Macaca fascicularis: one gene and its partner. The protein of the gene in region 2 purifies or fractionates together with the protein of the main gene of each other region. This does not show direct contact. Links are inferred from orthologs where the notes say so. Each region holds a gene or a part of one and is shown on either strand. Other genes may lie near its edges.

The links.
Region 1: the proteins of STK11 (region 2) and COPS3 purify together in Homo sapiens (affinity purification with mass spectrometry; 5 studies listed by BioGRID and IntAct, with this or other methods). This does not show direct contact. The link is inferred for Macaca fascicularis from reciprocal best matches to the Homo sapiens genes STK11 and COPS3.

Annotation. Positions count from the first base shown.
Region 1 is NC_088390.1:17,359,753-17,363,558, forward strand, and holds part of COPS3 (COP9 signalosome complex subunit 3), read right to left. Parts: intron 3,575-3,806; coding exon 3,395-3,574; intron 391-3,394; coding exon 250-390; intron 1-249. UniProt on the Homo sapiens protein: Component of the COP9 signalosome complex (CSN), a complex involved in various cellular and developmental processes.
Region 2 is NC_088393.1:1,784,383-1,788,641, reverse strand, and holds the start of STK11 (serine/threonine-protein kinase STK11), read right to left. Parts: upstream 2,820-4,259; 5' UTR 1,674-2,819; coding exon 1,384-1,673; intron 1-1,383. UniProt on the Homo sapiens protein: Tumor suppressor serine/threonine-protein kinase that controls the activity of AMP-activated protein kinase (AMPK) family members, thereby playing a role in various processes such as cell metabolism, cell polarity, apoptosis and DNA damage response.

The DNA of each region.
Region 1 (3,806 bases), on a different chromosome or scaffold from region 2:
AAAAATCAACTATTACAGGAGCTTAAACATCTATAGCTGTAAGTACATAGAGTACAAGTTTGAAAACGGGTTCCTGAGAAATATTTCATCCCAATCAGGCAATGAGAATGTCTGCTAATCTGAAGCTGTTAGGAGAACTAAATCACTATAAAACCAAGTTACAGAACTGTATCATTGCAATTTCTTGATATACTCAACATGCTCACATAAGAAATCAGTTTTATGTTAAAAAAAAAAAAAAAAACTTACCTTAATGAATCTACCCACAATTTGAGATGTGTATTTTGGTAGCTGTTGTACTTTGCCAAGTAATATCAAAGACACTAAAATATACTTTTTATATGATTCTAACATGATATGACTGACCGCCATGGCAGGAGTAGTTATAGCCTAGGCAAAAGAAAAATGCTTACTGTAAAGAGAACATACCACAGTAGCAAACAGCAATCAACCACATGTATCACATTAATTATAAAGCAGTAATACTTTTTAAACGTCCCATTATTTTTATAACAGCCTTGAGATATAATTCATTTTATTTTATTTTTATTTATTTATTTTTTAGAGACAGGGTCTCGCTCTGTCATCTAGGTTGGAGTGCAGTGATATAATTATGGCTCACTGCACCCTCAAACTCCTTGGGTTCAAGCAATCTTCCTGCTTCAGCTTCCTGAGTACCTGCGACTACAGGCATGGGCCACCATGCTTGACTAATTTTAAAATTTTTGGGCCGGGCGCGGTGGCTCAAGCCTGTAATCCCAGCACTTTGGGAGGCTGAGATGGGCAGATCACGAGGTCAGGAGATCAAGATCATCCTGGCTAACATGGTGAAACCCTGTCTCTACTAAAAAATACAAAAAACTAGCCAGGCGAGGTGGCGGGCACCTGTAGTCCCAGCTACTCGGGAGGCTGTGGCAGGAGAATGGCGTAAACCCAGGAGGCGGAGCTTGCAGTGAGCTGAGATCGGGCCACTGCACTCCAGCCTGGGTGACACAGCGAGACTCCGTCTCAAAATAAAATAAAATAAAATAAAAAATAAAATAAAATAAAATTTTTGGCCGGGCACGGTAGCTCATGCCTGTAATCCCAGCACTTTGGGACGCCGAGGCAGGCAGATCACGAGGTCAGGAGATCAAGACGACCCTGTTTAACATGGTGAAACCCCATCTCTACTAAAAATATAAAAAATTAGCTAGGCATGGTGGTGGGCACCTGTAGTCCTAGCTACTCGGGAGGCTGAGGCAGGAGAATGGCATCAACCCGGGAGGTGGAGCTTGCAGTGAGCCGAGATCGCGCCACTGTACTGCAGCCTGGGTGACAAAGCGAGACCCCGTCTCAAAAAAAAAAAAAAATTTTTTTTGTAGAGATGGGGGTCTCACTATGCTGCTAAGGCTGGTCTTGAACTCCTGAGTTCAAGCAGTCCTCCCACTTCAGCATCCCAAAGTGCTGGGGGATTACTGGCATGAGCCGCCACGCCTGGCCACTTTCTTGTCTTTTTATTTTTGAGGTGGAGTCTTGCTCTGTCACCCAAGCTGGAGTGCAGTGGTGTGATCTTGGCTCACTGCAACCTCCATCTCCTGGTCCAAGAGATTATCCTGCCTCAGCATCCCGAGTAGCTGGGATTACAGGTGCCTGCTACCACGCCCAGCTAATTTTTGCATTTTTAGTAGACATTTTCACCACGTTGGCCAGGTTGATGTTGAATTCCTGACCTCAGGAGATTTGCCTGCCTCGGCCTCCCAATGTGCTGGGATTACAGGTGTGAGCCACCATGCCCAGCCTCTTGCTCTGTTTTTTTTTTTCTTTTGAGACGGAGTTTTGCTCTTGTTGCCCAGGCTGGAGTGCAATGGTGTGACCTCGGCTCACTGCAACCTCCGCCTCCTGGGTTCAAGTAATTCTCCTGCCTCAGCCTCCTGAGTAGCTAGGATTACAGGCATGCACCATCATGCCCGGCTAATTTTGTATTTTTAGTAGAGATGGGGTTTCTCCACGTTGATCAGGCTGGTCTCCAACTCCCAACCTCAGGTGATCCGCCCGCCTTGGCCTCCCAAAGTGCTGGGATTACAGGCATGAGCCACCGCACCCTCCCCTTCTTACCTTTTTAAAACACACATCATCTTGATATTTCAAGACCAGTTTGCTCATGAATTACTATATTTGGCTACAGCAATGATAATGCATCGAGTGGCTATGAAGTACATTTTTATAATTTTCTGAATGTGTAGTCTTAAAGAGAAGTCACCTTGAAGATTTGACCTGACTAGACACATGCTTTAATGACACCATTTCCGCCTACTGGCACCTTATGGTGGCCCTTCTCAGGTCCCCTCAACAGGGCACATCAACCACTCATTATGGTATGGTTCAGAGCCACGGATGTGTGTACGTGTGTGTATTATGTATTAGAATTCCAACTAAACTGAGCTCCCTGAAGGTTTTAAATATCCTTTATTAACACATGCTATGAACTAAAAAGGAAAGTATGAACATCTAGCTAATTTACCTTAAGACAACGGGTTTTGGGCCGGGCGCGGTGGCTCAAGCCTGTAATCCCAGCACTTTGGGAGGCCGAGACGGGCGGATCACAAGGTCAGGAGATCGAGACCATCCTGGCTAACATGGTGAAACCCCGTCTCTACTTTAAAAATACAAAAAACTAGCCGGGCGAGGTGGCGAGCGCCTGTAGTCCCAGCTACTCGGGAGGCTGAGGCAGGAGAATGGCATGAACCCGGGAGGCAGAGCTTGCAGTGAGCTGAGATCCGGCCACTGCACTCCAGCCTGGGCGGCAGAGCGAGACTCCGTCTCAAAAAAAAAAAAAGAAAAAAAAAAAAAAAGACAACGGGTTTATTAATCAATATTGTGTATCTCTTTTTCAAAGTCTGAGTAAAGCTCCAGAATAGTCTACCAAATTGTGTACTATGTTTCATTACACAGACACAGAAAGGGTGGGAGGGACTATTACTGTGTACTCCTCTATACCCTTTAAATTTTGAATCAAGAGAATGTTTCACTGAGTAAATAAAACTTAACAAAATACCACACATGGTTTTAGAATAAGACACATCCAAGATCATTCAGTTCAATCTCTTCCTTATATGCAAAGGAAGCTATAAAGGTCAAGAGATGTCATAACTTATCCCAAATCAGATAAGATATAAGTGCAAGCCTAGATTAGAACCCACCCACAAGTGCTCTTCTATGCACTGGCACTGCTCCTCAACTTAGGGATCAGGTTACCACCATTTACCTGATGACAGAGAAGCAGTCTCTGAAAGGACCACCACCTGAAACGGAGGCCCCGGGATCAGTCCACTCTAGCCACAAACCTATGGGATCACTTTTTTGATCACATGAGTTCAGAACAACCTCAGCTAATTTTTAGAGAAATGATTACCTGTTCATAAAAGTAGAGAGCTCTTTCAAAGTTCTTCAGCCCAGTATAGATCATTCCTCCATAATAATAGTAACATAAAAAGTGCTTTGCATCATAGGCTCCATTCTCTTTACAGATATCCATCATATCCACATCAAGATATGGAAGGGCAGGCTTAAAGCATTTTGCTAGCAAACAAAGCTGTGAACAAATTGATATTAAATCATCACTTTAATTTTACTTAGGCAGGTATTAGCAGAAGAAGAAAATTCATAGATTCCAGAAATTTCCAAATAATGTAATTGTGTTTTACATTTTATTGACTAAAATGATCTAAATGTCAACACATTTCATGTATCTGCTATCTGAAATGCTTAGGACCAGAAGTGTTTCAAATTTTGGAATATTTGCAGAATACATACCAGTTAAGCAT
Region 2 (4,259 bases):
GTCACAGCCCGCATGCTGATTAAGAAGCGTGTTGGCTAGTTGCGGTGGCTCACGCCTTTAATCCCAGCACTTTGGAAGGCTGAGGCGGGTGGATCACAAAGTCAGAAGTGCAAGACCAGCCTGGCCAAGATGGTGAAACCCTGTCTCTACTAAAAAAAAAACAAAAAATACAAAAATTAGCCAGGTGCAGTGGCAAGCGCCTGTAATCCCAGCTACTCGGGAGGCTGAGGCAAGACAATCACTTGAACCCAGGGGGCGGAGATTGCAGCGAGCCAAGATCGCACCACTGCACTCCAACCTGGGCAACAAGAGCGAAACTCTGGTCTCAAAAAAAAAAAAAAAAAAAAAAAAAGAAGTATGTGAGCCCCAGGGCCCCTGAGCAGGAGGGAGGTGAGAGCAGACAGGGCAGGGGCCCCTCCCCAGACCTCCTTCCAAGGTCATGGTGCCCTGTGCAGGGTGTCCCTGCCAGTCCCTCGAGGCCTAGCCCAGTAGATAAGGTCCTTTCTTGGAAACAGGAGGCAAAGTTATGAAAGTTAAGAGGGCTGGGAGAGGGGCAGGGCCTGGGCAGGGCCCGCCAGGCGACGGCAGGTGCAGCGTGTCTGGTTGCGATAAGGAAGGGACACCCCCCCCCCCACCAGCTGGGAGAGGCTCAGGCCGGCCCGTGCTGCCCTCGGTAGGAGCTTCTCCGCGCACAGATGCAGAGGCGTCCGGGATGCCCAGCGGCAGCCCCATGCCTGAAGAAGTCAGTTTGAAAAGTAAGGTCTTCCGGATGCAATTCGGGAGGGAGGCACAGTCCTCCTCGGGCAGGGCTGCCAGCGCTGGGGGCCAGGGATGCTTCCAGCGTCACATCCCTGGCAAATGAGGAAAGGCTACGTTTCCCTCCTGCTGGCTGATAAGCCAGTGCAGTTATTTTTGGCAGCCCAGGGTTCCCCTCCGACAGGATAAACAAATCACATTTTCTCCTGGCCCCGGCAACCGCCACACATTGCGCACAAAACCTGCTGGCGGCCGCACACAAACTCTCGGCGCCCAAATAAACACAGGCTCATTCCACTGGGCGCCTCTGCTCCTTGGACAGCTGGGGGAGCCACGGGGCTAGACTTAGGGGATTGGGGGCCGCTCCCTTCTCAGGAGGGTTTCGCTACCAGGGCGTCCATGCAGAAGAGCCCAAGCAAACACACGCCCCGCTACGACAACTGGCTCTGCCTGAGTGAAAGTCCGTAACGCAGGCCTCCGACCAAGCTCTCCCCGGCACGGAGGACACAGGCGCCGGCCGGGTCCAGCTTTGGGTGTTAAGAGGAAGTAAGGGAGGGAGGGAGGAGAGAAGGAAGGAAGACAGAACCATCCGCACAGTGACTGGCCTGCCCGGCAAGCCGTACTTACTTTTTCACGTTGGCCTCCCCGTTGGGGATCCTTCGTAACTTCTTCTTCTTGAGGATCTTGACGGCCCTCCTGCACAGCGTCTCCGAGTCCAGCACCTCCTTCACCTTGCCGTAAGAGCCTTCCCCCAGCAGGTCCCCCATCAGGTACTTGCCGATGAGCTTGGCCCGCTTGCGGCGCGGCTGGTAGATGACCTCGGTGGAGTCGATGCGGTGGATGAACGTGTCCATGCCCACCGACATCAGCTCGCCCTCCGTGAACATGCCCAGCTGCTGCGGGTCCACCACCTCCATGCTGGACCCAGGGTCCTGGAGTCCCGCCGCCAGCCCTGAGTCCGCGGGTGAGCGGTCCTTGTGTTCCGACTTCCCTTCTCCAAAATTTTACAAAGAAAAAAGAAAGAAAAAAAGGCAACAAAAACCCCAAAAGGAAGGGAAAAACCCTTCTTCCAACAGAAACGATTGTCCTACACGTCAGTCCCGGCTGCGAGTCCGAGCCCGGTGCAGGGTCTGCAGACCCGCGGGCACCGGGCGTCCGGGACGGCGGCTCAGACGCGAGTTGCAGTGGGTCCCGGGCCTCGGAACTGGGGAACGGCCCAGTCGGGGTCAACTTTGTCCTCGGAGGCCCTGGGGAGGCCGGCCGGGGCTTCTCAGTACTAGGTCATCCTCCGGGGACCTCAGGCCCACGGACAAGCGTGAACACGGCCAAGCGCGGTCTTCTCCGGGCCGCCCATCCCACAGGCGGCGTCCGCGACGTCGCTGCCCCCCGGGACCCCCACACCTGGAGAGCCCAACTTCCCTGGGGGTGTCTCCGGCGACGCCCGGGTCCCGCCGCCTGTCCCAGCCGCAAACGCTCCGCCGCGGACTACCGAGCGGACCTCCCGGGAGGCGCCGACTCCCGACGGCCCAGGCGAGCGTTCGGGGGGGGTGGGGGCGTCCGGGCAGCCTCCCGCCGCGGCCAACAGCTCCGCTCAGGGCTGGTCGCTGCCCGGCGCCCGCGAGGGCCCGCACTGGGCACCCCCCGAGCCGACCCGCGACCCCCGCGGTGGTCGCCGGGGCCAAGCAGGCGCCCCCTCCCCGCAAACGTCTGCCCGAGCGCGCGCCCCACCCCGAGTGCCCTCAGCGTCCGGTCCGCGGGACGGCGCGGCGGCGGGGGCTCCACGGGGCCCCGGGCGGCCGAAGCGGCACAGGCCGCAGGCTCCGGGGCGGGGGGTTCCCGAAGGTGCCGGGCCCCGGGCGGCGTGTCCCCCTCGCCGCGGCCGCCGCGCGTGTGGAGGAGGCGGAGCGGCGAGGGGGGCCCAGCCCATCCAAGGCCGCGGCAGCAAGTTCCGCCGCCCGCGCTCCCTTCGCCGCCCCGCGCCTCACTCGCGGGCGCTCCGGGCCGCCTCCCCCTTCCGCGCTCGACACGCCGCCGCCATCTTGTTTACCTCCCTCCCCCTCCCTGCGCCGCCGCGGACGCCGCACGCCCGGCCGCAGGACACGCCTCCTCGCGAGGACGACGTGTCCACCCGTTGGCTGAACCTGCAATCCCCGCCCCCCCTTCCCGCCCCACCGCCGCTGAGGATTGGAGCGTTTGGACCCGGCCGGGCGCCCGAACGGGGATTGGTCCGCGCTTGGCCCCGCCCGAGGGGTGGATACGGCCCGCTCATCGGCCCGCGGAGACGCCCGTCAGGGGCAGGGGGCGGGAAGCAGGCATAGGGAGGGGAGGCCACGGCTGCGACCTCAGAGGGGCTGGGGACGGGGGTCGTAGGTCACCGGTGCCAACGGCCTCGCTGAACGGCCGCGGGGAGGGCTCAGCCTGGTGGGCGAGAACTTGGGCTCGCGGACCTGGAAGGAGCGGGGCCACCCCAGCCAGAGCCCCTCCCCCGGATCCCCCTTTGGGGGGAGGTCAAGGGTCAAAAAGTAACCCAAAGTGGCCAATTCCAATCAAAAATCCTTGTTTTAAGGCTCTCTTGGGCCAGGGGAGAGAGAAACTCTCAGGGCGGCCTCTACCCTGTCGGAACTCATGGGGGAAGCCTCAGGACAGCGCTGGGACGAGCCCAGCGGGGGCTTCTGGTGAAAAACAAGAGTTGCCAAAATACGGCTTGATAAGGTTGAAAATATTGAACCCTCCTGTGCTAGCCCCGTGCTTTCCACCTTTTCCTGCACTAGCGCCACGTTGTTTTGCTGGAACAAATTATCTTGCTGCAACCTCCGCCTCCTAGGTTCAAGCGATTCTCCTGCCTTGGCTTCCCGAGTAGCTAGGATTACAGGCGTGCGCCATCATGCCCGGCTAATTTTTGTATTTTTAGTAGGGATTACAGATGCACGTCTGTAATCCCAACTACTCAGGAGGCTGAGGCAGGAGAATCGCTTGAACCTGGGAGGCGGAGGTTGCGGTGAGCCAAGATCATGCCATTGCACTACAGCCTGGGCAACAAGAGGGAAACTCCGTTTCAAAAAAAAAAAAAAAAAAAAGGTCTCTCCCAGAAAACAGAAGATGAGTAAACACTCCCCAGCCCAGACTTATTTTCATATCTGTTTTCTGGACTGATAGCTGGCTCATGCACAAACTTCTTGGAATCTGGGGATATGCTGGATAACTGTGGCATCCGTAGGTCCCACGCCCCTTCAGAGAATTGCAGGACACATGGAACTGACTCAGGAAATACTTGGTGGCCATTATAGAAAGAAGCCTTGAAGATGAATTCTTGGCTCAAAAGCCACCTCCTCCAAGAACCCCTCCTAGTGATTCTCTGAACTGCCTGGATGGAGATGTGCTGTGTAAACTACACACGGAATTTCTTTTCTTTTTTTTTTTTTTTGATATACATAATTTTATTACAAAATTTTTTAAAATGCAGCATCCTAAAAAACAAAAAAATTTACTACTGATACTAATTC